Linked DNA regions of Mytilus edulis. The protein of the gene in region 2 binds, or shares a complex with, the protein of the main gene of each other region. Links are inferred from orthologs where the notes say so. Each region holds a gene or a part of one and is shown on either strand. Other genes may lie near its edges. The genes, in order: WASH complex subunit 1-like, WASH complex subunit 5-like and WASH complex subunit 3-like.

Region 1 (10,490 bases), about 78 Mb from region 2:
TTCCTGTAATAGTGTTGGAGAAGAGGACGTACTGTGGTGTGGTATCGGTGTCCGATGACTGGCTTCCTGTGATGGTATTGAAGAATATGATGTACTATGTTCCAGTAGAGGTGGAAGGTGGCCGGGTTCATATATTGGCGGAGGAGAATATGCCACAATCTGTTGTGGTTGTGGTAGCGGATGCTTACTCTTGGAGCTTTTTTTGTGACGTGAGCGTTTTTTATTGCTTTTCTTCTGTTTTGAAGGTAATTCTGAAGTTATAAACGAATAAACAAGATCATTATCTATTATGTTTATATTTCATCATCTCAAAATAAATACTGACTCACATAAATCATGATTTTTCTATATTTTACTAGATGGGTCCCCTTACATTACTTTACATAAGGTATATTTGAAGGACAATTTGATTATCTGATCAATAAATATCAGATATTATTTTTAAAATTGATGAATGCATGTGTTGACTTTTTTTCTTTTCGATCCTATTTTTATTGATGAACTAACGTTGTGTAATATGTTTGACTTGTTGTAATAAGTTTGGTTCAATCAGTATCATGTTCATGTGTTTCCTAATAGCATTTGTTTGTGTTATTTAGCCATTGACAAGATAAACTAAATGTCCATCACAACATGCCAGAAGGGCCTTAATACAAATGCAAACTTAAACCTTTAAAGACGTATCACGAAAGGAAAATGAAACGTTTATCACCAAAGGCAAAGTGGATTAAATGTAATGGTTATGATATATCAATAATTACACTACGGTTGTCACATGTGGACCAGGACCTGGTCACCCTGAGATCATCCTAAGTTTTCGGGGTAGTTCGTATTGCTTCTTTTAAGTTGTCTATGTTGTGGTGTATGTTCTGTTGCTTGTCTGTTTGTCTGTTTGTCATTTTTCTTATTTAGCCATGCCGAAGTCAATTTGAAGTACATGACTAACTATTGTAGACACCAATGTTCAAATGAAGTTGTTGTAAGCAATTAAAGGCAACCGTTTGGTCTTCAACAATGAGAAATTATAACATTGCGTTTATTTTCTGCCAATGAGTTTGAATCTTTCGCCTCTCTTTGACATTTACCTAACATGCAGTTTGTTTGATAAAAAAAATATGGTTGTAACGTTATTATGTTGAGACTATGTAAAACCATGAAAATGATGATTCTTATTATATCATTTGTTTTTACTTACGCTGCTGTTGTAGCGTGTGTTGATGTTGATGTTGATTTAGTTTTGATAAAGTGTCTGGTTGTATCACGTGACCACGAATACCACTGGTTTTAACACAACAACATATTGTGGTGATAATAGCCCCTATAACGGCTACTCCAAACAAAGCACCAATAATTGCACCAATGATAGTTCCTCTAAACATAATGAAATAAAAAGTAAATGAAATCATGTTTGTTGTATTAGTAAAGGCTATAGATCTGATTTAAATATTAAATTTATCTGCACAATGTATTGGGTAAGACTAAATTGGAAACGGACATTACAACCTCGGAAATAAAGGGCTTATCCTGATTGGGCACTTTTGCTATTGAAATATGTTATTCTGAAGTTCGACTTAAGATCGTGGATTTCAATTTTCGATTTCAAAATTCAGATATATTAAATAGAGAATATCGAATGAGCAGTCTATAGACATTTTTTTTATGTCTGATGTGTGTGTCGAAGCGATAACTTTTCTTAAAAGAATCCGTGTAAGTTGTGGGATAAAGCATTATTTATAGAAAAAAAGAAATGTCAGTTCAAAAGAATAAGTCCTTGGTTTCATTGAGGGCGACTCTTAGGTTCATGTTTCGGTTTTCTGAGCAACACATATGTTCTTGTTTTTTTCATATACATTTGCATTTAAATCGTGTGTGAAAATATTGTGTCTTTGAATATAATTATAATTCAAGAGATAACCTCTATGTTTTCATAAAAAAAAATGAAAAATAGGTTTCATAAATGTTTTCTAATAGGTTCACGCTGCATTGGTGACCTTCGGCTGTTGTCTACTCTTTGGTCGGGTTGTTGTCCCTTTGACACATTCCCCATTTCCATTCTCAATTTTATTAACATGAAAAGTAAAATATATAAAAAATATTCTTTTCATTTGTATTCCTTATGCATATGTATTATCTGTGATAATTCTTGTGTATGTTAATGAATACTTACACATCAGTATTACATTCATGGTATTCGTATTGGTAGTGGTAGTAACAACCACCAAACACCGGAAGTACTGAAACATATACAGAGATTACTTTCAATTTTACTTTCATTTTTTTTGTTTTGACATGTATAGATTGGCAGACAAAACAGTATCAGATAAACCTTATCATATTTCCCTAAAAGATCTAAGGAGGATGGAGGGCCGCATGGTTTTCGCCATTAAAACAAACCTTGATATATTTGAAAAGGTGATTAAATTAAGCAAAAATTATTAAGAATCTAGTAAGGTTTCGACACCTTAAGCAAAGTTAACTTTAGATTTATTTTTGCTAATATTTTATATCCTTTTTTGGTCAGATGTCTCTTCGACTGTTTCGGTATTATACATCCTTTTGGCTTTCAAATATTTTGCATTGAGTGTTCCTGTCGAATGTAAATCTATAGAAGCGCTTCGAACTCATATTTTATTGAGTATTGCCAGTTTCATTTTTTGCAAAAAAAAATGATTCTTACAATCAAAACAGTAACCGCAGAGATGACTATATCCGTCCCATATTGTTTTTAGAGTCATATGTAATTAATCATGCCGAAAATGACATCCTACTCATTCTCAAGCATTTAAGGACAAAGTATTGAATAAGCAGATGTTTAGAGTTGAGAGGGTCTGCATCGACTTCGTTCAATAATTATGCCAAGTTCTAAACATCCCTAAACCTACAGAAGCTACGAATTATTGAATAACACTTTATAAATATATTCGTCCGATTACTTGATTTAAGAGGCCCCTCATGAGGGGTCCTAGTAATCACATAATCACCTTTTTTTTTGCCAATATAATCACATAATCATTAAATATTTGCTTATCTTTAGTAGTCAAATAATCATAAACTAAAAATACAGTCCTAGGTAATCAAATAATCATGAAATATTTGGCTTAATAATCAAATAATCATTAAAAAAACGGCCAAGTAATCACATAATCAAAAACCCCATGAGGGCCCTCATTTAAGACCTATAGAGAATTGCCAAGTCTACCTGAAATCAAATTTTCCTGAGTCAATTTGAAGCTAAGTTTCTTACTTATTTCCCAATTAATCAATGAGTAATTCATTAAAGGTATTTCGTAATGTATGTCAGTACCGAAGCACTCGGTTAAAAATCTTTCCTATACAATGATATTAAATATATACTGATTAAGTATGCCATATTATTGTGCTTTTAAAATGTTTACTTTAAACACACTGTAGATTTGTTTTAAAAGATATGAAGTTGCATTATAAAAATGTTTCAGATGAATGAATATTAAAAGATTTGTTTAACCTTTTATCAAAATATTTACTTTAAAGGTACGCAATTACTGCGCTATGGTTACATGCACAACAACGAGAATAATTATAGATACATGTTTAAAGATATATAATGTATTCATGATATAATTATGGTAATTTCTCATATATCTTTTTAACAGATCGTTGCAATAAACATATAAAGCATTTCAAAATATTAAAAAAAAATAAAGTAACGCTTAAGGGTCAATAACTATTATAATAAATTATTCCTAACTCATCATACATGTTAGACTTGACTTGTAGAACACTCTAGAATTTCAAAAAGTTCTCCGAATTTATTTTGTCGGCATTTTAAGAAACATTATTAAGATATGGTGTTCCGTTGGTTTCTTTTGAATTTCGAAAATATGAATGAATCAAACTGTTGAGATAAAAACGTTTGGACATGCATGTCTGTTCTAAACTTGAAATTGGAAAATTTAACTCTTACCCTGAATAAACAAAATCCATATTGAATCAAAAACCATTACTTTTGATTATAACTAATAATACATTCCAAATTATTCATGTTAAACGGCCAGGAAGTTTAAAACATCAACTATCAATTTAAAGGCCAGGTTAACTTTTCTTCAATCAATTAAAAAATAGATCCATGACGTGAACTGTCAAGTTACGGAATTGTTTATGTTTTTCATGCTTTTTATCCAGTGTCTTCACGAACAAATTTAGATTCCTATTTACAGTTACATATGTCTACAGACTACATGCAAGATGAATTTGAAACAGAATAGACATTAATTGGTTTGTCCAGAACAGAATCGATTGATCTGATGTTATTGAGATATTGACTTGTTGATAATTTTAAGTCCATTCAAAAGACTTACTAAGTAGAAGCCGGGAGTAGAAGCCATTTAAAAACGTTGAATGTATAAACAAGCGCTCTTTCTTCTTCTTCTTTTTTTTTTTTTAGGTTGCAGCACATTTATATTTTACGTGGCATTCTTATTTCCTTTTGTTGAAGAACTATTAATATATATTGTTCGTCATTTCTCTCGATTCTTGAATAAAAATCATGCAATTGACCATAAATAGTTACCTATTCAATTTACTGTTGTTTTTTTTTTTAATTAATCTGTGCCAAAACATTTTAATGCGTACAAACGGAACATCTGTGTACCTACAAGCAATATAGTGTCAACATACGTATATTTCGAGACGACTCGAATATTAGAATATAAGAAAGTTTGCGTGAAAATATGAACGTTCCTAATCAAATCAAATTTATTATAAGAATCGCATTATAACAGGAGAGTATCCAACATTCACTGAAATACTTGCACTGCGATTATTAGAATAGTATAATAGGATGATATCATGGATGAACATTATATATACATCATAACCAAGGATTTGTATAGCCTAGTAATTAAGACCTATACAAATCCTTGATGTAACTGGTATATACATGTACAAATATAAATAAACTAGTACTACATTACTGTAAATAAGAACAAACCAGTATACTGATCTGTATCACTACAATATAATAGAATAATGGTGAGGTTGAATTCTCTGCCATTTATTCATCATCAACGCACGACTGTCTTGTCTCAGAAAAAAATACATCTTTGTACATTAACCTCATTTTCAGCAGAGACACATAATACAATTGTATTGTATGTCTCTGCTTTCATCTATAGAGATGTGATTTTTTTCTGATGGACAAGTGCTTGTGACCATTCACAAGAACTTGTGGTCATCCGATGTTCAGTATTTTCAGTACTACAATTTGTAACATCGTTAAATTAATTTTCAAATCATGAGACATTTTACCAGGTGGAGTCTAATAAACGATAATATAACAATAATCCTATTGCATGGATTTTAAACTAATAAAATTCTTCTCAATAAATGTTATACTTGGACAAGCTTTTGGAAAAGCTAGTGTTTGAAATATTGATACATCTTATTATGTGTTCTACGTCACGAATATAGAGGCGGAACTGACGAAGTTCTCATCGATAACTTTTTCTCGTGATCAAGTAGACAAGCCGAAAACATTTTGAAGCTTTAGCCCAAATTATGTGATTTGACAATATGATACTGTTAATGCATTTTCACATTCTAATTATGTAATTCATGTTGAAAATATTCAAACCATAGTATCTGGAAAAGGTAAATAAAAAACCATTATTCATAAGCACACTTTACACGCCCCTTTTCACTGAGCACCATGATTTTTTAAAATTGTGTTTTGAACTGCGTTGTTTGAGATTATCTATAAAGAATATTAAAAACAAAAAACAGGACCTACTAGAAATCATTGATACTGTCAAACCAGATATCATACTAGGTACCGAAACATGGTTAGAACCAAACACCTCTTCTTATGAGTACTTTCCATCAGATTTATATAATGTGTATCGCAATGACAGGGCACCAAGTACCAACAACCAAAGCTATGGGGGTGTACTTATAGCAATCACAAAAGAATTCATAAGTTCAGAGGTAAAAGAACTAGAAACTGAATGTGAAGTAGTCTGGGCAGAAATCAATATTGCTGGCTCAAAAAACATCTTAATATCATCCTATTACAGACCACCATCTGATACAGGTTTGTCACTAGAGCAACTCCATCAATCTCTAAATCGTATCAATAGTCAATCAAATGCAACTATTATTGTGGGGGGTGATTTTAACTTGGGACATATTGATTGGTCAACATCAAGCACAATACCAGGCAAACCTGACATACAACTTCACCAAAATCTCTTAGATATAATGAATGACACAAACCTACATCAAGTTGTCAATACACCAACAAGAAATGATCGCATACTAGATCTAATAATGATTAATAACCCAACATACATCAACAAAGTAACCACACTACCACCAATAGGTTCAAGCGACCATGATATTGTCTATGTCGAAGCAGACATCTGGCTTAAGAGAATAAGAGAAACCCCACAAAAAGTATACAAGTATAACAAAGCCAACTGGGACGAAATTAAACTTGACATAAGTACCATCTACAAATCAATCATTGACAACTATGATTCTCTTAACACCAATGAGCTATGGGAACTATTTAAAACCAAACTCATCAGCTCTGTCGAAAAACACATTCCATCAAAAATCCTACGAAACAAACATCGATTACCGTGGATATCTGATAAATTAAGACGACAAATTAACAAGAAAAACAAACTTTACAAAAAGCGAAAAAACAGCGAATACACGGAGAAATATAAAAAGATGAAAGCTCAGGTACAAAAAGATCAAAGGAAAGCCTACTGGGAATATATTGAAAAACTTATATGTGATCTTCCAATTAATGAACCAGACATTCAAATACAAAATCAGAGCAAACCTAAGAAACTCTTTCAATACATCAAGTCAATAAGAACTGACAAATCTGGTATCTCTGCACTAAAGAAAGACGGCAACATCATTACAGACGCCACAGAGAAAGCAAATCTCTTAAACGAACAATTTCAATCTGTATTTACCCCAGTTACAGATGACCCAATACCAAACAAAGGCATCAGTTCACATCCTAATATCAGCGAATTACATATAACACCAAATGGGATCGAAAAACTCTTAAATAAGATCAACCCACATAAAGCCACCGGCCCAGATAACATCAGTGGCCGCTTACTGAAAGAAATGAAGACAGAAATTGCACCAATACTATGCTTAATTTTTAACAAATCATACAACACTGGTATTACACCTAACGACTGGAAACACGCTAGAGTCGCACCAGCATATAAAAAAGGGGATAAGCATAAACCGGTCAATTATAGACCTATTTCATTAACTTGTATTTGCTGCAAGTTAATGGAACACATAGTAACATCACACATTATGAAACATCTCGAATCAAATAACATCTTGTACGACCTTCAACATGGCTTTCGGCACTCTCGTTCTTGTGAGACACAACTTCTCTCCTTCATTCAAGAACTTCAATCCACAAACAATTCAAATACACAAACAGACCTTGTAATAATGGACTTTGCGAAAGCCTTTGATAAAGTTCCGCATCGTCACTTACTATACAAATTACACTATTTTGGCATTAATGGAAACACTTTAAATTGGATCTCTGCATTTCTCTCTGATCGAACCCAGACAGTTGTTCTGGATGGAAGATCATCAAGCACAGTCCCAGTCACCTCTGGGGTTCCTCAAGGTACTGTCTTAGGTCCTGTCTTATTCTTGGCGTATATCAACGACCTTCCAGACTACCTTACACATAGCAAACTAAGACTATTTGCTGATGACAGTATCTTATACATGCCAGTTAAATCCCAGAGTGACTGCCTAAAACTGCAAGCTGACCTTGACGCAGCTACAAAATGGGAAGAGGACTGGCTGATGGCCTTCCACCCAGACAAGTGTAATGTTCTCTCTGTAACAACTAAACGTCAACCTTTAAAACATAATTACACTCTCCACAATCATATACTAGAATCTGTTACATCTGCTAAGTACTTAGGCATCACATTACAATCAAACCTTAAATGGGACAAACACATAGATGACAATATATCAAAGGCCAACAAAACTCTCGGCTTCCTTCGAAGAAATCTAAAAACATCAAACCAAAACATCAAGAGCCAGGCATACCAAGCACTTGTCCGTCCCAAACTCGAATACTCTTGCTCAGTTTGGGACCCCCACACTTCAGAATCTATTTCAAAGATAGAGATGGTCCAAAGGCGAGCTGCTAGGTATGCCTGCAACAGGTATCATAATACTAGTAGTGTATCAAACATGCTGAACACACTAAACTGGCCTATTTTGACACAACGCAGACTGCGTGCACGACTGGTTATGATGTACAAGATCACACATCAACTTGTTGCTATACCATCTAGCACAATTCTCATTCCATCAGACTCAAGAACCAGAAAACATCATTCTCACACCTTCAGACATATTTATACATCAAAAGACTCGTACAGATTTTCATTCTTCCCATACACAATAACTCAATGGAATCTTTTACCAACCACAGTAGTAAATACACAGACAGTCGACTCTTTCAGAGATCAGCTAACATATGCTGTTCTCTCCACTATTATTTAAAAAACTTCATCTCATGTACATAGTTTTAATCACTACATCTGTTCTTTGCACTGTTTGTAAATATAACTTAATTTTAATAAATAGGCCACGTATGCACCAGTTATTAATCATCTTTATTCAGATGGAAAACTGGAAAACTTAAAGAAGAAGAATAGTTCAACTGTTGTGTTTACTATTGTCTATGCAAATATAGTATTCTAGGTTGAAGAAATAGTGTACTATAAATACTTGACATAACATTCATTGATTCTTAGGTTTCATGAAATTATAATACATGTTATGAGGGGGGGATAGGAGGGGTCTTGATCCCGAAATCCCGGACTTGAAAAAACGAAATCCCGAGGTCCTGAATTTAATTAAAGCAAATCCCGACATCCCAAAATCCGAAAAAAAGGATTCCCGGATCCCGAAAGGGTCAATCTCGAAATCCCGAGCTTAAAAACACCCGATCCTGGAGTCCCGATAAAGGTCCTATCCCCCCTCTGTTATATCGTCTCGTATTGTGTTTTCGACCGTCTGACTTTTTCGACCTAATTCTACTTTCACTTGCCGCATGACGTCATATTCCGCTGCTATACTTAGTAACAATAGCAAATGATACCACGTGGTGTGAAGATTTTTCAAATAAAGTTATTATATTAAGTATTTACGTTTTTTTTATTTGATATCACATTTTTGTACCCTTTTCACTAATCATTTGCTAATACTAGTTTTACCTTCCAAAAGAATCGGTCTAAAATAAACGAATTTTCTAAACTCATGGCAGAGGTCTTTTTGCATGCAAAGTTAACTTCAAGGTCATTAAGTCACATGACTGTCAGGTGGTTAGTTTTAATGAGGGGCGTAAAGGGAGGTATCTGCATGGAAGAACGCGAAATAAAACTGCCATTTCACGATGAACGAACAATTAAAAATGCCTTGCACGGTGATCTTTTTATCGATTTCACGAAACACGGTGAATAAAGAACCTTTTTCACGGCTTCACGTGAAATAAAAATGGCCAAACACGTTGCACGAAATAACACTTTACCACCCTCTGTAATACTTAAAAGTTAATTTGAATACGGAAATACGCATGCTCCTTACAGCTTTTTACTGAAAAAATAAAATATCAGTTAAATTTTATTTACAGAAAAAACAGTGTCTGGAATTTACAGACAATACTCACCAACCTCACTTTCACAATGGATTAAGCAAAGTATTTAACAAAAACATGAATGTATACAAGACCATATATACAAGGCTTCCAAAGTGCCTCATTCTGAAAGGTGTACAACTTGTCCAAAAAAGACATCAAATAATATTTTATCTCTTATAGTTGTATATTTAACCATTTAAGGTAGCACAGTACAAAGATTTGTTCACTCCTAATCAGACAACTTTAAACTGATGTAATTCATTTCATCCTTCTTTATATTTTATAAATGAGGTACCAAAAGAAAGAAGAAAGATTAATCTTTCAAATTGTGATAATTTCATTATGACATAATTATTACATAATTAATTATTATGTAATTAGTCGCTATATTGTGATGTCCACACTTAAATGAATTTAGCGTCTTTGTTCTTCATAGCATCCCAAAATATTTTATAGATTCTTGTACAACACAGCTTGACCTCCAAAACTGTGTCTCAGATTTCCAAAAACATCAATAGAACAAATTTTATACCCAATTGAATTTAGTGGTCTCTAATGAATTGATTTTGTAAACTTCATTGAAGATTTATGAGAGAATGAAATACAATAGGAAAAATCTGAGACACAGTTTTGGAGGTCAAACTGTGTTGTGCAAGAATCTATAAAAAAAATTAGGATGCTATGAAGAACAAAGAAGCTAAATTCATTTAAGTGTGGACATCACAATATAGCGACTTATTACATAATAATTAATTATGTAATAATTATGTCATAATGAAATTATCACAATTTGAAAGAT
Region 2 (11,083 bases):
TTGTGATATTATATTTGGAAGGTTGTTGATTACGTAACGCCCACCAAAGCACACCAAAGTAAATTCGATGACCATATGAGTATAACACATTATTACAATAGAAATCCATCTAGAAATATCATATTAACTGAAAAAAAAAAGAAAATGTAATGGTGATTTTAGGATAAATGGATCCTTTAAGACTTTGATTAAACATATCAATTACACGCCAAAGAGGTTCTCATTGTGGTTTGCAGCTGACATTTTACGATATCAATGTGCATGAAGAAACTGATAATCTATAAGTAGGCCTATAACACGGACGTTCATGTAAGATTCTGAAATCCCAAGAGAAAACGTCTGACGCCACAAAGCAATACTGATTGTCAATAGGTCATGTGTTGCAAGCCTTTCGGAATTGTACGTGGTTCGTCGTCTATATCTTCACCGATTCGATGTTTTTTAGACGTAACGTGCACGGTCTGGCGTACAAAACTTTAATCCTGAAATCTATGACGAGTTTCTTTGATGTCACAGAACAAGGTCCGTTTTACTGGCCAAAAAAAAGTGAAACATATTGATTTTATGTTAATTGTGGATTTCGTGGAAGTTAAATACGGAACAAATAAAGATGGTGTGTAGATTGAGAAGCTTGTCATAATTCTAAATCAGTTACATTGTCCAAAACGTGTCTATGATCGTATTCTGGTGGATATAATCATTGTTTTTTCTTGTCTCTTATTAATGAATTAGGTTTCATTGTCAAAATATATTTTACCATCGGTTTTTATGATATATTAATACTGTTGACATAAACAAGAATGAAAACAATATTTACGCTTTAGAAATGTGTCCTAACTTTGTCGTATGATCATTAAATGACGTTTTAGTGGTTTATTTCCATAGCTTGAGTCCCGCAGGATATCCTGGTTGTAGACATATTTCCATTAGAAATTGCATTTTTGCGACAATATATGCTGTGAAATGCTATAAAAATCCATTTATCTTTCTAAAACCGAACCTAGTACATTAACATATTATTGTTCACAAATTAAATAAACAAACAGCAGACTGTCATTTATCATTTTCACCCATATAAAAGACAAATATACCTTAGAGGTGATAGTTAATATATCAAAGCAGTGTCCAGTTAATAGCATGTCAAGATATAACACTAGCAAAACATGATAGTGGAATATAGCGAACCTATAATTAACGGAACCAGATCAGGCCTTAGGTCATATAACTTAATTCAGTACTTGGGAGTACATAGTTTGTGCCAGGTGCAAAGACACGTAAAACATTCCCTGCTATGCATGCATCATCCACCACACAAAGTCATTTCAAATAGTAATTCTCAATGTCAGGACTATCACCACATCGGCATTAATGTTAGATGTAAGTATTCGTGAATATGTTGGATCATACAAATGTCACATGTTAGTTGGGAATCTGAGAAACTGTTTTAAAATAATCAATCAATTATTTATGGCGACCTTGCTAGTTAGGAAAATTGTAGTTATTCTTCCTAGAATGCTCTGTTAGTGAGATAACAACAAATGAGAATATGTATATTCATAACTCGTCAACCTAGAGTCGACTTATTGTGCTTTTGGGTAGAAAGGGGATGAAAAGGGAGCTCTGGTTCGTTTATCGAAACACTGGGAAGAACCTACCACCCAGAGCACAGTATTGTACTCCGTTAAAACGAGCGTTTGTCTGTTTTGTTAGTTGTCAGCAGATATGTCTGTTATCTTCAAATTTATCTTGTTCCTGAACTGTCTTCTATTGATAGATAAATATATATTTTGATTTTAAAGTACAACTTGGTACTTATACATGAAATTCAATATATTACAATTTTAAACATGAGCAGTCAATTTACATAACATTGAGAATGCATGAAATGAGGAATGTATATTTATACCAACCAGCCTTTAGAGGCTTATAATTCACTGTCATTTATGTACGAAAAATTATATGAATTAATTTGAAATCCAATAATCTTTATTATATCTGAAGCTTAATTCTTATTAGATACAATGTAGTTTCAATATATCAGTATATCTATATTTCGATGTTAGTAACTTACATTTTGAAGGCGCCTCAGCCAAGAGAATTATAACATTCGGTTACAATAATACAAAGATCAAAGTCAAAACTAGAAAATAAGTACGAGCATGACATATAGTAAGACTTAGAATGTGTATAATGCTACTAGTATGTTGCACTTTAATGACACATGAAAGGACATAACATAATATATTCGACATTCATTTACTTGATAATGACGTCCAAGATTGACTAACTTTAAAATCACACCATCTAACTACCGATATTTACCAGTTCTTAGTGTTCTTTTACTACTTTAACCTAAAATACAGCTACAAACTAATTCTGACAAAACAGATGTGCATCTATAACGTATACTTTCTTCTTCGAAAAAAACCCCAGTTTATTAATAACCAAGTTTGTTAATAATTTGTTGATGACATCTTGTTGAACAAACATTGTTGGCTTTACGACATTAGCAAGGAAGAATATTACATTTTCCTGCACAATTACAGACGGAAACCTAATGACAATCATCACCCAAGTTTATTTTGTACATGCTTGACTCTGTGAATTTACTGATAGTCTGTGGAATTGATTTTAAGAACACGAACGTCAACAGGATTATACTCTGAATAATGATTTGTAAAATATGATCCTTTATAGAGGAAATCTTATAAATGCATTTTGATATCGTTAATATTTTGAATAATGCAAGCGTGTTGCACTGTTTTAAAGTCTAATTTATTAGATTTGTAAACCTTGTAAACTAATTTTCCAACTTAAAGTTATAATGTTTCTTTTTCCGAAAGGATGTTTCCGACTTATGTAAAGAATAATTTATTTTTGCATACTTTCTCATTCTCATCTTGATATCTATATCACTAACAGAAAGCTGAATACTAAAATTTATGGTAAAAGAGATGATTTTTCATTTCCTATCGTTAATTATCCATTTTTAGATGGTGACGTTCCCTTGTCACCATCTTACGGTGTTTATATATCTCAACTTGTACGATTCGCTCGTGTATGTAACAATGTTTTAGATTTTAACGAGAGAACTTTATGTATTACTGAAAAATTATTACACCAGGGTTTTTTGATATCACAAACTAGTCAAAACATTTACTAAATTTTATCATCGGTATAAGGACATCATTCGTAAATATAGCTCAACATGCAGACTTCTTATACGTTCAGGTATTTCACATCCAATTTTTTATGGAAATATTCTTTATAAAGCACAAAGGTGTCAGTATTCACCTCAAAAACTAACAAAACCTTTGAATAGACTTATTAAGAAGGTATATAGTTACAATACTGTTGTCAGGTCATTAAAGATTGCATATTTTGGCGTTAATATTGATTCACTTATAGGGTCTTTGCATCGGAACTAAACACATTTATTCAAAAACCAGTTGTTGGCATGACACGGGTTATGTTCTTCTCATATATGTTATGATGGCATGATACTAAACCCCTAACGGGAAGGATTGTGCCTGATGTTCATATGATGAAATCATAATCTTTCAGTCAGTTTAATTGAAGTCTGGAGCTGGCATGTCAGTTAACTGCTAGTAGTCTGTTGTTATTTATGTATTATTGTCATCTTGTTTATTTTCTTTGGTTACATCTTCTGGCATCAGACTCGGACTTCTCTTGGACTGAATTTTAATGTGCGTATTGTTTTACGTTTACTTTTCTACATTGGCTAGAGGTATAGGGGGAGGGTTGAGATCTCACAAACATATTTAACCCCGCCGCATTTTTGCGCCTGTCCCAAGTCAGGAGCCTCTGGCCTTTGTTAGTCTTGTATTATCTTAATTTTAGTTTCTTGTGTACAATTTGGAAATTAGTATGGCGTTCATTATCACGGAACTAGTATATATTTGTTTAGGGGCCAGCTGAAGGACGCCTCCGGGTGCGGGAATTTCTCGCTACATTGAAGACCTGTTGGTGACCTTCTGCTGTTGCTTTTTCTATGGTCGGGTTGTTGTCTCTTTGGCACATTCCCCATTTCCATTCTCAATTTTATTTCTCATTGTTTTCTAATTTCAGGAGAAAATAAACTAAACACAGATTTAGGTAGATTGGAAGTCAGTTTTAGTCAGTTAAAATATCTAATTGTAAATGGCTGAAAATGATTTGTCTAGATTTTAACAGCTTGAAATTAGTATTTGATGCATAATTAGTATTTATTTGTAAGACTTCATTAAATTGAAGATTTTTAAAGGAATATATCTTATATTATAGGGGCATTAACTACGGAGATTTTTTTTTCAATCATTCTTGAAAATTAAACAGTGAAATAATAATTCGCCTTAAGCAGCCAGTTTGGTTATATTAGGTCAAAATAAGCTAAGAAATATCGCTGATTAATTATTTACTTGCAAGTGAATAATTCTACCTAATTGAATCCGTATGCATGTGATCTTACATTTAACTCCTTAGCTAGCGATGGGTTACGCATTAACAAGGCTTGGTCAGCTATTAAAAGGATAAAAGGGTAAAGAATTTGTCGACGGATTCGATACAAAATCTCATTCTTATACAGCGTAAGAAAAGAGTGGTTAAAGATACCAGAGGGACATTCAAACTCATAGATAGAAAACAAACTGACAACGACATGGCTTAAAAAGAAGAAAAAAAGACAAGCAGACAAGTACACAAGACACAATCAAACAAACTAAAGACTAAGCAACACGAACCACCAAAAACTGCACTGGGGCCATTCGGATATCAGGTGCTCCGGAAGGGAAGGCAGATCCTGCTCCATATATGGCACCCATTGTGAACGTACTTCCTCGTTGTTTAACGACGATTAACATATGTTTTTAACCTATAGCATAGGTCCTATAATATGAAATCAAACAGACCCTAGAAAAATCCAATTGCACGTGTTCGCTATCAATGTATTATAGCTATATTTATGTTTATGTCAGGTTTTCGTCAGCAGTCTTCTTGATGGTTAATTATATGTCGTCTAGACTAAAGTACACACGAAATGCTGATACATATTATCGAGTCCATACATTGTAAATCATTTATTAGTTTAGACCCTTTATTATTTGGATATACGTTTTAGTAGGTTATCTATCAAATATGAGAATTTTAATAAAAGAAAAATTAAACAAAATCTTTTCAAACGATGTGAATTTGAAACAAAAATGTGATATCAGGGAAATAACTAAGATAGCATAGTATTATGTAATGTAAGTTTACATTATTTTATGTAGCCAAACCGTACGGTGACCCTATATTTTTTCATTTTTTTTCTCATAGCACATTTTCACAGCTATCTTATCATGTCAAAAATCTTTCAGGTTTTCCTATTGAGTTAGTCGTATGCTTCAATCAGATGATTAACCACAATTGTAATTATAATAACTTCATGTTAATCTAATTTTTGCATTTCAGGATTCTCTTTGAAAGTCGGAATGTGCTTATCTTTACTTGTAAGGTGACATTAAAATTCCTACTAGTATAAATCAGATTTAAATTTTTTACTAGTGGAAAATGTCAGGTTTTTCTTTTCGAGTATTGGTCATTTGATATGATTTATTTTGGTTACAGTTATTTAATATTTTTGCAGATTGTATTTTCTCCATTATTATTCTCTATAATTTAATATTTTCTATTTTCTTCTTGTATTATTTGTTGTCATTTTTACTTTGTGCTTGCTCTTTCTTTAAAAACATGGGTCACAATGTGTACATTGAATATTTGTGTCCTTTGCTGTGCGTTGTTGTATATGATTTCTGGTCGGTTATTGACTTTACTCAATTTACTAATGATAATAGGTGTCGCTGTGGCTGTTTCCGGATGTTGACTATCTGTCTGCTCTTTACACCAAAATGGACAAGGAAAGTGTGCTGTGAAGAGTAGAAACACAAGTTTCTGTTTGAGTAGACAACATTTTATATTGAAAAAATAAGTTACGGTAGCATTCAGATGCACTTACCCTGAGGATAATTGAAGTTGGTTGAGGGTTGTCACATGTTCATGAGTGCCTGGCAGAGTGGGCGTAACTTCTGATGTTTTTTTTCTGATTTGAGTTTAGATTCGACTTGTCTTTAGCACAAACTAACATTACAGAAACAAGCAATGGCTGATTTCCTTGCAGAAAATAACCAGTGTGGTCAAAATATTTTACGCCTTGTGTCAAGGGGAAATGCAATACTTGCTGAATTATTGAGACTTTCAGAAGTAATACCACCAGTTTTTAGACAGGAAAATCAACACGAAAAAGTTAAATATGCTGACATTATTAGTGATTTCAGTTACTTTAGAAATGCAGAATACTTTGACAATAAGATTGAATCCAAAGTGGTAAGATATTGGAAATAATCATTTAGGCCTACCTTGTAAATTGTTTACAAAATAAACAGATATATGCTTTATTGTATGTGACCACTTTTAATAAATTAATTCTATGCAAATCTATGACAACTCACCCCATTGCCAAATCGCTCCAGACCAACTTGCCTTACTTTTTTGGATAATTTTAGGCATTTATTAGGCCACAGCACTTGGGACAATATTACTAAAGCACCTTGAAATGAGGAACTCAAAAGTCATGTGTAAACAAAAAATCTCTGTGTAGTGATATTTGACACTTCTTATGATAAACAAATGACTGAACTTAACCATTTGTGTTAATTAAGAAAGAAGGGGAACACAGAATAAATTTGTAAAATCTATGGAGTCATTAAATGTGTTCAAAGTATTTAATTTTCATAGAAATTATTGTGTTAAAAATGGGATTTTTTACCTTGAGGAGCCGCATCACAAAAGGATACTCAGGGTTTGCTAATTTACGGAAAAAGTAATCTCACTTTGTACCCCGAAAATTTAACCACATATGTCAAAATGTCTCAGCTTCGAAACGAGCCATCACACATATCCAAGTTAACGAAATGGACTGAGCAACAGAAGAAAACGTAACTATTACCGCCTATGGAGAAACTAATACGCATCATGACCCACTTGTCTCAAATTTAAAAAATTTGAGACAAGAAATTGTTTTTCTATACAGTACATTGTATACTTTTATATAATGATCATTTACAATAGAAATTTAGCTAATCTGCAAACAATTCAATCTTCATGTCTAATATATTATGTACTGTGTTACAACTCTAGATTCTACTCAGTACTGACGAGGAAAGGTAACACTAGCCCACTAAAAGCTGAATTATTAGTTTCATCTAGGTGGCTGAGTGGTCTTGAGCTTTGGACACAGTGCAGGTAGTGTTGTCCAGATATCCCTATAGCATGACTTTGAATCCCAGCGAATTTACAGATTTAACATTGTTGTCATGGTTGTGCTAATATTTCATGTATTTAGAGTAATTAGAATAAATATGTGTTTTCAGCTGTGTATCACCTTCAATGATGATCCTATGGATGGATCTGTCATAGAGTTGTCACTTGTTTAGACTTCTTGAAAAGTTATAAAATTTGACCTAGCTGTGCATAAAATAGGGAAGAAAAGATCTGTCTGAAAATGCACTAAATACATTCAAATACATGTACATTGTATATATATATATATTTATAAATTATAAAATATCAAGTGACTGAAAAAAGCCAACTATAAATCTTAAGGGGCAATGGATCATATAATTATGATACAGCACACTACAAAATATAATATATAACAAGTCTAAAAGGGTACAACATCACCAAAAATAACAATAAAATGAGCAATAACAGATATATTATTAGTAAGATCACGATGTAAAAGAATCATACATTGTATCAATCAATTCTGATTATAAAACTAGAACAATCTTGAAATTTATACAATGAAACAGTCAAATCTGAACATAATAGAGACATGCCCGTGTACAACTCTAAAATTTATTAAACATGATGTAGGTTATATAGCTACAATGTATTTACAACAGAGACAGCAAAGATATGCTTCAAATAAAAATAGTTATGTGCAATATGAACTGGTACAACTCTAAAAAGTGAAGACAATTTTAACAGATGTTACAAAAACGATATACTAATATCTATATAAACATGTATACAGCTGACCATTTCTTCATCCAAATGGCATTTCATCATCCAAATGGCATTATGTACTAATTATTTATTGCAAAAATGTATTATACCATATCAGAGTTTGTGCCTTTATTTGAAAGGAATTGCCCTTGATTTCTTGCAAAAGTATTAGCAATAAAGGAAAAGTTTACTGACATAATTAATCTGAACACATTAACTCCAAATGGAGCTTTCGTTAGTATAAGCCATATTAATTAGGTGCAGGGGAAAATATGAAAGCATAAAAATATAGTACATGTATATGCCAATACACAGCGCCTGGTGATGTTTCATAGCTTGACCGGTTTCGGTCCGAAAAGTAAAGTTTGTTTTCTTCTTCTTTCAGGAACTTCAAGATTTGGATGAAGAATTCAGGGAAAATAACATTGAAATTCTGACAAGATTTTATCAAGCTTTTTCTAGTGTACATAAATATATAATAGATTTGACAAAGTAAGTACACCTGGATAACCATATATAAATTGGTACATGTATCCTTGATGGATGAGGTACTATGTATAATAAAAAAATATTAAACAGTTTTGAGGTTTGATATTTATCTTTGTAGTGATAAGTTACAATACAATGGAAAATAATGTTTTCATTTCTAAAAGTACTTGCAATTGGCTGTAAGTTTATATTAAATAATTTTTTATATCATGACTTTTATTTTAAAACTTTCAAAGTTCTATTTGCTTGCTCTAACACATTTACATGATTTCATTTAAGATTGAAGCTACATGTACTATCCAGGAGATAGATATAGTTTTAGGCCTGATCGAGTTCTGTCTTGAAACATAATTACATGGTTCAAATGTTTGTCCTTAAAAAGTTCTTATTCGAAGAAATCTGAACAAGTTTTTCTAATGTTTACAAGATTAGTTTAAATGTGATTTTTGTTTGTACAAAAATAATGAAATAAGCTGTAAAGAGAAACAGTTAGCATGTCTGATTAAATCATAGTAAAAATTAAGTAGTCATTTATACTTGCACTTGTAAGATTGTGTCTGATTGAATGGATTTTCTATTATTTTTACAGTATACCATATCAGAAAGGCCATTCTCCAGTGCTTTAAGTTAGAAAGTTTATAATTCAAATTGATGATACTAAATTTGATAAGATTAAAATGTTATTGATCATGCTTCTATAATTTGATTGTTATAGATTCCTGGAAGATTTAGAAGAAGGAATATACATACAACATTCATTGGAAAGTGTTTTGATTAATGATGATGGTAAACAGTTATTGGTAAGAAACCATTAGAATATAGCATTGTCTGCTGTTGTCTGCTCTATGGTCGGGTTGTTGTCGCTTTGACACATTCCCCATTTCCTTTCTCAATTTTATATATTTTGAAAAGCATTAGCAAAAGGTAGAAAGAGATAAAGACCTATTCATATTCACTACACTACTCCCATTTCAAAATACAAGTAGAATGGATAAGCTTGGGCTTATAACACAAAGAAAGTATTATTATAAATTTCCCAATGCAAGTTCTTTGATAAGGGTGAAATGGAATTTCTTATGTTTTTTGTTTTTTAATTCACATACTAGAGATTCTTTCTTTTTAACAGAATATGTCAAAGTATCTTTAACTTGAGGTTCCTGATTATGACAATCACTTGCACATCTGACTTTGGACATGTACATAAACATGTTAAGTTCCTGACTAGGCAACCGAACATGTCAGTCTCCTGACTTCTGACAGACACATAAACATGCAATGTTGTTGACTTAGAACAGATACTTGAACATTTCAATTTGGGATTCTGAGAAGGGACAAACAAATGAACATGTGAGGCTCTAGACTTATGAGTCACATGTACATGTGAGATTTTTTACTTGGAACAGGTGAAGGAAGCTCCTGACTTGTAACAGGCATATGAACATATGGCTGATCTTGTAACTTGTGAAATAAATATAAATGACTGATTGAGATTACTGTATTTGATACTCAGTCCTGTATACAATTCAATTTTGCACTGGTTGGTATATCGTCAGACTTTTGATTTCTTTAATGTGTTTCCATATATTGACACTAAAACATTCATTTATTACAAATAAGTAATCTCTAAATTAATGTTTTCCTATTTGAATAAAAGTAGTTGGCGTGAAGAATTTTGTCTCGTTCAAAAAGTCTTAGAAATATTTGATGATCAAAGATAAAGATTTTCTAACATTTGCATAGACATTGCCCTTTTGAAATTCATTATACTTTACCGGACAACTACAAATTTACTATTTGGTAATTTAGAAATGTAAACAGGGCAACATCGTAAAGGAAGAAAACAATTTCAAAGTAATGCTTTATCAATGCAAAAACATTTAAGCATTTATAGATATCTCACAAGTTACAAGATCGGTTAAATACCAAAACATATTTTTTCCAGCGATTTGTATACCATTCCTAATCCTTGTGAAAAATACAACAAAAAAAATACACAGTTTTGTTTTAAGTTTGTTATCAGTATTCTCCCTCTAAATCTTTACATGTTATACCAGGAACAATTTTGACTGGCCAAATCAGAAAAGTATATTTTCCTACATCTTATTTTATCAAATCCAAAGTTGTAGAATGAGCTTTCACAAACTAATAATCTTTCTATTATATTGTATTTTCATTATTTATCTCAAAATGTATATATGAACAAATAATACAGACATGTAAATTTGGACATCTATACACTTATAGATTAAGCCTCGGTCACACCTTACCGGATAGCTCGAACGGATGCCTAATGGATAACTTTTTTTCAATCCGCTCATGTCCGTTAGACGTCCCTTCTTATCTGTTAGACGTTCGTTCATATTCGTTGCATGTCCATTAAGCTTACGTTTTATCCGTCGACGTCCGTTCTGTCCGCTGGAAACTTTTGAGCATGTTCAAAACTTTGAACAGACGTCCAACGGATAAAATGTCCGTTGAAAGTCCATTAGGCGTTCCTTTTGAAAGGTACTCGGCCGTTTCGTTTCGGTTTTGTATCCGTTACATTTCCGTT
Region 3 (10,848 bases), on a different chromosome or scaffold from region 2:
AAACTAGTTCATAATGAGTATAATTAAATCATATATGTTTGAAGATTCACACGAAATGTTACCTTTGTTCTCATCGTCTGTGCAGCAAAATAACAGGATTCCAGTCCTTGATGTTCTCGTAACAACTGGTCAGACACATGCCATGCATACATCTAAAACACACAAATTGATACTCAAAACTTATTATTTATTTATGTAATTGCTATTTTAAGAACATAAATTTCATCTTTCAAGTTTGGTAAATGACTTGTCAGCATGTGTTCAGTTTTTTTTTTTTTTTTTTCTTCAAAATTGTTGCATTTAAAGAAAGTATTTGATCCTTTTAGTATTTTGCCATAATGCAGGTGTCACCACACCAGGCAAAGTCAGTGACTATGTCAGCCTTGGATTTCCAACTTCAGAGATGATGAAAAGTGGTGGTCCTACAGATTTTACCACCAAAATATTTCAAAGGACTGACACAATTTTAGTATTTTTCAATAGAAATAATAGTGAGGACCAGCAAATTTTCTTCAAGGACCACCAAGGAAATAAAGATTTCGCGAAACTCTGCTGAACTTCCCTCAAGAGAAGCTCCAGGGAAAAATTTATTGATTATGTCACCTTTAGATTACCAACTTCACTCTAGAGAAGCTCCAGGGGGAAGTTTATTATGTCATTCTTGGATTTCCAACTTCACTCTAGAGAAGCTCCAGGGAGAAGTTTATTCATTATGTCACCCTTGGATTCACAACTTCACACTAGAAAAGCTCCAGGAAGAAGTTTAATCATTATGTCACCCTTGGATTTCCAACTTCACACTAGAGAAGCTCCAGGGAGACGTTTAATGATTATGTCACCCTTGGATTCCCAACTTCACACAAGAGAAGCTCCAGGGAGAAGTTTATTCATTGTGTCACCCTTGGATTCCCAACTTCACTCTAGAGAAGCTTCAGGGAGAAGTTTATTGATTATGTCACCCTTGAATTCCCAACTTCACTCTAGAGAAGCTCCAGGGAGAAATTTATTCATTATGTCACCCTTGGATTCCCAACTTCACACTAGAGAAACTCCAGGGAGAAGTTTATTCATTATACCATTCTTGAATATCCAACTTCACTCTAGAGAAGCTCCAGGGAGAAGTTTAATCATTATGTCACCCTTGGATTCCCAACTTCACACTAGAGAAGCTCCAGGGAGACGTTTAATGATTATGTCACCCTTGGATTCCCAACTTCACACAAGAGAAGCTCCAGGGAGAAGTTTATTCATTGTGTCACCCTTGGATTCCCAACTTCACTCTAGAGAAGCTTCAGGGAGAAGTTTATTGATTATGTCACCCTTGAATTCCCAACTTCACTCTAGAGAAGCTCCAGGGAGAAATTTATTCATTATGTCACCCTTGGATTCCCAACTTCACACTAGAGAAACTCCAGGGAGAAGTTTATTCATTATACCATTCTTGAATATCCAACTTCACTCTAGAGAAGCTCCAGGGAGAAGTTTATTGATTATGTCACCCTTGGATTCCCAACTTCACACTAGAGAAACTCCAGGGTGAAGTTTATGGATTATGTCATCCTTGGATTCCCAACTTTACTCTATAGAAGCCCAAGGTAATAGTTTGTTGGATATGTCTACCTTGGATTCCCAACTTCACTCTAGAGAAGCTCCAGGGAGAAGTTCATTGGTTATATCACAAAAGGATTCCCAACTTCACTCAAGAGAATTAAGCTTTAGCCATGCCAGATAGGGAGAAGTTAATTAGTTAAGTCACCCTAGGACACCCCACAGGCCCTCTGATGTCAGTTGGCATATCAGTCCCCCATCCATAATAGGTTTTGGAGTGTCTGCTGATGCAGGTATTTACGTAGACTATACAGTATTGGATTTGATTCTTTAATTGAAAGTACAAAATGTAGTAAGTAGAGGAGCAATCTATAAGTAAACTGCATCACAGATAGAGGTAGCCTGAGATTACTCTGAGGGCTGTTTTGCAAGACAAGCTTGGGCCATGGGATGTAAGAGCTCGTCCCATATCAAAAAGTGGATATTTGCCCGTCCAAAATAGATGCGCTGCTTCGTCGCTTCTGGTGCCAACTAACGGCCTTGGAATTATATACAGAACGCCCAGAGAGTATGTAATCGCGAACTCTAATCACCGATTTCAGAGTGTAGCGGTGTGACACCGCGAATCACGGATTATACTCCCATTTTCCTCCAAAGATTCTCTCCCAACACCGTGTGGCTGTTTATTGGTTTATTGCCCATCAGATGTACTGAAAATTAATGAGTTGACGCGTGACAACATCATCGGATTAGCCAGATTTATTACCTTTGTACATTTAATCGATCTTGATTGCACCTGAGTGATTTAAAATACGTTATTTAAATGTCCTTTCATTGTCAGATAAAAGTGTGACATTTTTATTTAAAATAAGATAATTATTCTTGTATGTATATGCCCATGTCATTGTCATATGACATACAACGTGCAAACGTATAAATATACGATTAAAACACTTATTTTGTATTTTCATTATAGTCCGATCAGGTCATAATTTTGTTTTTTCAACAAAGACGATTTTACCACAATTAGAACCTTTTATGACCTACTCAGTGAGCAACATTCGGTTCATTAATAGTTCAATATTATATAATTAATATCAACTGGCTTAAAACAAAATGATGTTTTTTACGGTAATATGTCCAATCTAAATTAAACCCAAGAGTTAATTTATCGGATCAACAAGTGAACTCTGTTACAATTTATTTTGAAACGTAAAATATTATGTTTCACTACCTCGGTAGATTACCGACTTGAAATATTTGAATTTAAAAAAGAAACTGTAAAGTGACAAATAGTTTTGTATGCAATGTGGCAGCCCTATATTCATAAATACTGAGATACATTCGCCGCCCAGACACAACACAATAATCACAACCTTTAAATATTTAATTATATGGAGAGAAAAAATCATGTTTTTTATCCGTTATGATCTGTTATTGATCTTTAATTATTTAAAATAAAATTGGATTGGCGCAATCCGTATTTTACAGCTCGTTTAAAAGTCCTCGGCGAAATATAAAAAGAAGTATTTCAACAATTATAAAATAGAATATTTAAATGAAATTATATCGTGTTCTACAAGAAAGAAATATGTAAAAAAAAAATGTGGAGCGGATTTTTACGATCGGCAAATTTTCACAGAGGATCTCTACCAACGCCCATCAGGAACTGAACGACATGCATCCTGTTTTCATCTACCATTAATATATAGTGTTGACTATGGACGTATAAATAATGTCCGGTTTTATGTCCTCTGTTGACTGAGAAACGTAAAAATAAAAGGCTGATGTTGGTTAATTCAGAAAAGGAATACAATTTAGAATCCGGTTAATCAATTGTAAAAGTACCTTCTAGAGCCTCAATCTTAACGCACACAAATTTATGTCAATCATTACAAAGCTAGTTTAAACCTTGAATGAATTTTCCCACGGTTATCCAGAAAGGTCACCTGAGTTTACTGTTACATGATACTATTTCCCGCCAAATAAAAATCTTGTGGACAAAATTGATGTCACTATTTTTAGCATTCAATATTGTGAGCAAAGTCAAGTTCAAGTTCAACTACGCACTGTTGATCACTGAGATGCGTGTCTTCCCACGGCAATTAATTGCTTTAAAAATATTTAAAGATCACTGTTCTAAATACAACACAAAAGTTTACATTCATTGTGCGTAAATGAATATTATGCAACGACGAGTTGATGCAGCTATAGAAGTATTCCTGTTGTAGCCGAAATGTTTTATTTATCCTAAAGTAATGCTAACAAATCGTGAAGAGAAAATGCCGTAGACTTCTTAAGCATAAGGAATGGTGAAAAGTATTTTCTTTTTTTCTTGCATATACAAGTTTTAAGACACGTAATTTTCTTTCTTTCTCACATTTTATACCTTCAGCGTTAATTTCCGTTTATTTTCACGCAAGTACACAATGAAGTATGTCTCTTTTCATAAGTTATATAAATTACCGATAAAAAAAAAACCGAGGTCATAATCAAGTATAGATTTTTTTTTATAAAACTTTAATGAAATTGAAAGCATTTAATAACAACAACCTTTTGCTTTTTAAAACTTTTATTTTGTAATCGTAAAATGGAAATGGCGTAGACTTATTAGCATAACAGATAGTGAATAATATTTTCTTTTTTTATACTTGTATAAAAAACTTTGAGACGTGTCACTTTTCTTTAAACTACCCTAATTTATTCAGCGTTAGTCTCCGTTTATTGTTACACAATTATATCTCTTTTAGTAAATTAAATATTTATTTACTGATAAAAAAACGAAAGTCAAAATCAATTTGATTTAGATGTACAGAGTAATTAAAAGAATTAACAACAACGTTTTGATTTTTATTTTAATCTTTTATTTGTTTCAAGCAATCAGATATAAACTGATAATCAATAGACAGGAAATACAATTGTTTAATTACATTAGAAATCTCGCATACCTTGACTGTCGCGTGCCGGCATAGATCAGAAGGATTAGGGCAATTTATTACCTGGTGTGACACTGCGTCACTCCAGACTGGGAGAGATGTCGCTAATACAATAAACAAAAGGTAACGGATTTATGCGGAAGTCGGAGGGAATACTCCCAAATTTCTCCGAGAATTTAGGGAGTGATGTCGGAGTTTCCTGGTGTCACACCAGGAAAAAACTCGGTGTATGGAGTTTGGGATGGCTTTCGCGAAAATTGAACTGTACATTGTAAATCGGATATCAATTTGTTCATTTTTCATTTATGTAAGCTTCACATACCTCTCACCTTTTATTTTCTCATAATTAGACAGTTTTTACAGTGACCAGGTGAACCATCGATTCAGACATTTTTACTTTTATTTTCAAAAGGACATCAAGTTACGAGAAACTTCACGACCTATAGACTCAAATATGCAAATATTTATACGTTTTCGTGGTCACATGATAATCTCTGAAAATGAATGTCAAAATGCAGAAATCGATGGGTCACTGTGAGAACTGTTTAAATATGGAAAAACTAAGTGTGGCAGGTAGGTGAAGCTTACATAAATGAAGAGATAAATGAAAAATGAACAAATTGATACCCGATTTATATAATACTAAGGCCGTTAGTTGGCACCAGAAGCGACGACGCAGCGCATCTATTTTGGACAGGCAAATATCCACTTTTTAATATGGGACGAGCTCTGACGTCCCAAGGCCCTATCTTGTCTGGTAAAACAGTCTTTGGACGTCAGGGTAATCTCGGACTAAGATAGAGGGTAAAGAAGAGCTGACCAAGCACGTCTGCTCAGTTGTATGACTGAGACATCACCATTGAAATGACGTCAATAGGTATCTCTTTCTTTCTCTGAATAAAAGCTAGAATTTGTATCATCAACTTATACATAGAGATAGTAAGATACAGAATGAGGTATGATTATCTTTTATAATGTATATTTTTTGTTTACGTGAAAAGCAAAGCGGTTGAACGATTTGAAATATAGCTATAACTTAATTGGCAGATATCATTAGACAGGCATCTTATAATGTATCGTACTAGTGGGCTTTAATACAAGTTTAACAGAAGTCTACTGCTGGAAGGGGGGCAGCAGTCGGGTCAGTTTGCTTACCGAACGTTGCAGTTCTCCGAGCCAAACTGATGCTCTTTCCTTTCCATTTACGTCTGGATTTTGATAAAGGGCTTGGAGAGCTTGATAAACCGTCTCTAAAGACGGTTCACTATTCATTGCTGTATATTTCAGGAATTGTCACTTGAAATTTCAGCAAGAGCACTGACCGGAAGTAAGTTATTCACCAAGTCATTCCCGCACTTTTGAAAAAAATAAAATAGAATTACAACACACATATAATATTTGTGGTCAAAAACAGATATTATAAAGTTAAGTGAAATATAAAATTAGTTTAAATATTTATTTTATTATTTAATTGTCATTTCTTATTCACCCCGTAATCGAAAATTTACTTCCGGTTTCACTTTGCCAAAAAAAAAAATACAACCCATACCACCTGACTGCCAAACAAATTGATATTCCACTCCATAATGGATTCAGATGGATTGCCTCTTGTAGGACCTGGTGTTGATTATACAAAGGTGTCTTAAAGAAATCATTTGTCATACATACTCACAAATTTACTGTCATTTAGTGCCAATGACAGTTGAGCTAAATAAAATCAGTGTTCAGTTAATAAATAAAAAAATCTTTCATTTAATCAGATATCAGGCTATTAGGTTGAAGAAGTTGCTTCCCCGTAAGTAACTTTATTTTTCCCTTTAGTGGGGGATCCTCCCTGGTCAACCAGTTAAGACAAACTCTATATATCATTATATCCAGTAGTCCGAGATTACTCAGACGTCCAACGGCTGTTTTGCCAGACAAGCTGGGGTCGTCGGATGTCAAAACTCGTCCCATATCAAAAAGTGGATATTTGCCTGTCCAAAATAGATGCGCTGCTTCGTCGCTTCTGGTGCTAACTAACAGCCTTGGAATTATATAAATAGGGTATCAATTTGTTCATTTTTCATTTATCTCTTCATTTATGTAAGCTTCACCTACCTGCCACACTTTGTTTTTCCATATTTAAACAGTTTTCACAGCTTGTCTGGCAAAACAGCCGTTTGCCATCAGAGTAATCTCAAGACTATATTTCCAGAGATCTAATTATATATATAACTAACAATATTTGCATATTATAACAATAAAAGTGTATGTAATGTTCATCAAATGTCAGTGTATACGTGTTGGTTAACAGTAAAGAAAGAATGTAAAAGTAGAAGTGAGTGTTTACTGATTATGAGTAGCCAGAAAAGGTCATATGTAAAAAAAACACTCATCCCTTAAACCCTTACAATACTCTCTATAAATCAAAAAAATATTTCACACATAAGGGGAAACAAACATTCATTTTTCAATGGTCTCAAGAGGTGTACATATCCAAATCATATTCATGATATTTGGAACTTCATTGAGATGTGAAGAAAATAAAAGTGCCTATAGTTCATGTTTCATTTAAAACATTATTTTTTTCAAAATCCCTTGTCAAACATTGTTCCTTTTGTAAAACATGTTAAAAACATATGAGGGGAAACCAATCTTTCAAGGCTCAGCTCCGTCATTAGATCTAAATGACATGTTTTTAATTGCACCTGTATATAAATTAAATTGCACCTATTCTTTATTCAAAAATTATTTATGCGCTCACTCCAGCGGTAGTACATTTCAATGTCATTTGGACATCTTGTTACAGAAGCGTAGCTAGAAGAAAACGATGTGCAAGCAACTACGGCTAAAAAAAATTTGGACCCTTTAATGCAGAAATTTTTTTTTCGGTTTTCGGTCATAGGACGGTTTAGAGAGGAGCTACATGTAGATAGGACTTATAAACAATTTATGAACGTAAACCTATTAATACTTGAATCTTCTGAATAGAGTAAATCATGGTTAATTTAATACATAAACAACACATTTTTGAATTACAGAATTTACTCAAGATTGACCAAAATCTGCTCTTCGGGTCTAAGCAGAAACGAACTTCTCTATTACTTTGTCAACATTCACCCTGAAATCCCGATCAATATGCAGTAATGCTAGCGATGATAACCTGTCGTTGTTCATTGTTGATCTTACATTTGTTTTCAATAGACTTAATACACTGATAGATCTGCATGGTAGCACTTGCGAGATGTTATAAACCAACATACGTGTTCTCAATCGAGCGACCTCCAGATTGAAATTGTCCGCCAAATACATGCCAGGTCATTTTGTATGTCTCAGACAATGTTGAGAATTATTCATTGGTTATATTTCCTACAACACGAGGAAGCAGATACGACACAAAGAAGCTTTTTTCTGATAATACCAGACACCCTCTACTCTCCAATTCCATTATCATATGGTCTACGTGTGTGAACGCAAAATATAATGAGACTTTCCAATGCTGTTTTGGCGTGTTTTCAGGGTGATTGGCTCTGGTAGTCTGTCGAATACATCGCCTCGGCATATTTTCAATAATATCAAAGGGTTTCGATAAATCTAATGGTCGATTGGTACATCGCATCGCAAACAGATACCTTACTTTGTAAAATGTACTCCAAAACTACACGTCTTAGACTGAGTATAATAAATTCAAATCTGGTAAAAGATACAAGTTACTGTCCGATTTTTACATGATCTCCAATAAAACGTTTGTTTTGAAATGCCGTTATTTAATGACAGTTCATCATTTAAAAAAGTGACAACGTATGTGTTTCCTTTTAGCTTTAACCATAATTAATTTATAAATTTTTATTTTGGCATTTTTTTTTTTGCTTGCTGAATCAATGTGCACGCAATTGCGTGTTAGCGTATAGGGAGCTATGCGCCTGATGTATATATATTTCTTAAATCATATACAGAAATATAGACGACTTTTTTTATATTGAATTTTTCATAACATCTTTACATTTGTATAAACAGCATGTGGAGATTCTTATTTTAAAACATATAGAAGACTTTGTACTGATATATTTGTTGTATATTAAGAGAAGAATACTTTTTAAAAAAGAATACTTTTTGTTTTCTTTCAGGTGGAAGCTATTCAGCAGAAGAGAATTGTTGCATTTATAAACCATTTTGTTACACATACAGCTAAATTTCTCAACAGATTTTCTTCTGTGTGTGAAGAAAAGTTAGAACATATGTCAAATAGAATTCAGGAATTGGAAGTATCAATGAATTTATTAGAGGCCAAGGTTTGTCTTTTACTCCTTAGTGGTCTGGTGTGCAAGAGGTATTTGGGTGTGTCAAAGAAAGATTTTGAATTTGTTTTTACTGCTCTTTAATTAGGATGCATCATTAAGGAGTAAGAGCAGTGGGTGGTCTCCTTGGAGCCAGAACAATGTGTCCAGCTTAGGTGATGTGTCTTCCTGCAGATTTTTACCTGGTTATTTATCTCATTGATAATCCGACTCAGTGTGTCCATCTAGTTCAAAACAGGATTATATTCATATTACTTTAAAATAACCTTTAAAATGACGCCTTTACATTGTAATTTTCTGCTGACCATTTAACACCCCTCATGATCCATCCTCATTATTGTTATGTATTGTAAGAATATATTTGCTTAACAAAATTAAGGTTTTAAAATAACTCTAGCATACAAAGGAGTAGGATCAGTTATTCAGTAAGACCCATTTTTTGCCCCAAAATATATCAGTTTAACAAAATTGTTATAATGTAAACTTTTAGCTATTTATTGGAAAGCAGAATACTTCTGCTACATAAATATGGGCTGTTTTTGACAATACAATGCATGTGTATCTGGTACAAGCATCATTAAGTCAAAATCTTCACAATTTTTGCATTTGAGTTCAACTTTAGACAGTTGTCGTCTTAAATGGAAGTGGCTGCATTTGTGTATTCTTAAGTGTCATTCTCTGTAAAAACAAACAAATTCATGGGACTGTTCACACCAATGTCACAGATTTAGAATTTCTTTTCAATATTAAGCCCATAAATAAAGGCAACAGTAGTATACCCCTGTTCAAAATTCATAAATCGATAGAGAAAAAAACAAATTTGGGTTACAAACTAAAACTATGATGCCCTGATAAAAAAAATAACTTTTATTTTAATTTTTGGGGTTTCTGTTGCCATGGTTACAGGTCCAATATATATATGTTGGCAGCAATAAGTGAAATAAGGAATTAAGCTTAAATCCTAGGCAACAAACTAATGCCTTGGCAGTAAGTCTGTTGCCTAAATGATGTCAGGCATTGGTCTTAAATCCTGGAAATGTGTGCAGGCATTTAGCTCTATGCCTAAAATATAAATGCAAGTAAATAAAAGACATTTATTCATTTAAATAAAACCAATGTGTTACATAATAATATTATGAGAACTGGGGCCTGTTTATCGAAAGTGTCCTAAGAGCGGTCCTTTAAGATATTCTTAGGACATAAATTATGATAAAGTTAGGACCGACTTACAACATGTTTTAGCATGCACATCGCAACTATCTTAGGATTATCTTAGCTATGCTGTCCTAACTGCTGTCCTAAGTATTGGCGTCAAAGAAAATAGAAAATTTGAGTAAATATCATTTTGTTATCATAAGTTTTAGAACTGTTAACTAAGAAAATTTACTTATTCAATAAAAAAATTGGAAAATGGTGTGATCACAAAATCATATCTTAATTTTGTCTATCTTTGACCTGTTCAAACCAGCTCCACTAGTGAAGTGTACAAATTTTCAAATGAATATTATAATTATTCTGTAGAATCTCCCCCCTTTTTTAGTTGCATACAATTACTTTTTTAAATCCTTTTAATATTTTGTAAACCACAAAACATGAAAAAGTATGAGTGAATTCTGTTTTTTAACTGTTGAAATTACTAAATAAACTTACTTTTGAAGATCTGTCAAATAAACGTATATTTATAAATATCATTTAGAAACGCCTTTTTATCAAGAATAAATCACCAAATATTCATAAATTCAAGAGTTTACTTATCATGCTTATTGCCTAAAATTATGTTTGACAATAGGATGAATAATCATCATCAGATTTCAGGAAATAAGCTTAAAGCCTGAATTTCAGGCAATAACTTAATGCCTAGGCGTTATTGTAGCTTATTGCCTAGGATTTAAGCTTAATGTCTAATTTCACTTATTGCCGCTAACATATATAAGCCCAGTAACAGAGGAGCAAAATCTCAAAATGCATCATTTTTAACTTTCATTATTTTTAACAAATATATATTTTTAGCCTAAATCATGAACAAATAAAGGTCTGGAATAACACAATAAAGTAGACAGACATTATCTTGAATCCATTCAAAA

What was found.
Region 1: WASH complex subunit 5-like (region 2) and WASH complex subunit 1-like share a complex: the UniProt entries of both Drosophila melanogaster proteins name them as parts of the WASH complex. The link is inferred for Mytilus edulis from reciprocal best matches to the Drosophila melanogaster genes Strump and wash.
Region 3: WASH complex subunit 5-like (region 2) and WASH complex subunit 3-like share a complex: the UniProt entries of both Drosophila melanogaster proteins name them as parts of the WASH complex. The link is inferred for Mytilus edulis from reciprocal best matches to the Drosophila melanogaster genes Strump and CCDC53.

What each region holds. Positions count from the first base shown.
Region 1 is NC_092344.1:31,571,154-31,581,643, reverse strand, and holds the start of WASH complex subunit 1-like, read left to right. Parts: upstream 1-5,438; 5' UTR 5,439-5,628; intron 5,629-10,490. Other genes in the region: uncharacterized protein, read right to left, coding at 1-251, 1,196-1,371, 2,168-2,234, 3,944-3,980. UniProt on the Drosophila melanogaster protein: Acts as a nucleation-promoting factor by activating the Arp2/3 complex to induce actin polymerization. Participates in both linear- and branched-actin networks.
Region 2 is NC_092344.1:109,305,910-109,316,992, reverse strand, and holds the start of WASH complex subunit 5-like, read left to right. Parts: upstream 1-5,808; 5' UTR 5,809-6,135; coding exon 6,136-6,360; intron 6,361-8,428; coding exon 8,429-8,535; intron 8,536-9,247; coding exon 9,248-9,332; intron 9,333-11,083. UniProt on the Drosophila melanogaster protein: Acts at least in part as component of the WASH complex which may regulate wash nucleation-promoting factor (NPF) activity and is required for its membrane targeting during endosomal sorting.
Region 3 is NC_092353.1:26,955,966-26,966,813, forward strand, and holds the start of WASH complex subunit 3-like, read left to right. Parts: upstream 1-5,982; 5' UTR 5,983-6,070; coding exon 6,071-6,121; intron 6,122-8,593; coding exon 8,594-8,758; intron 8,759-10,848. Other genes in the region: transportin-3-like, read right to left, coding at 63-152, 5,640-5,756. UniProt on the Drosophila melanogaster protein: Acts at least in part as component of the WASH complex which may regulate wash nucleation-promoting factor (NPF) activity and is required for its membrane targeting during endosomal sorting.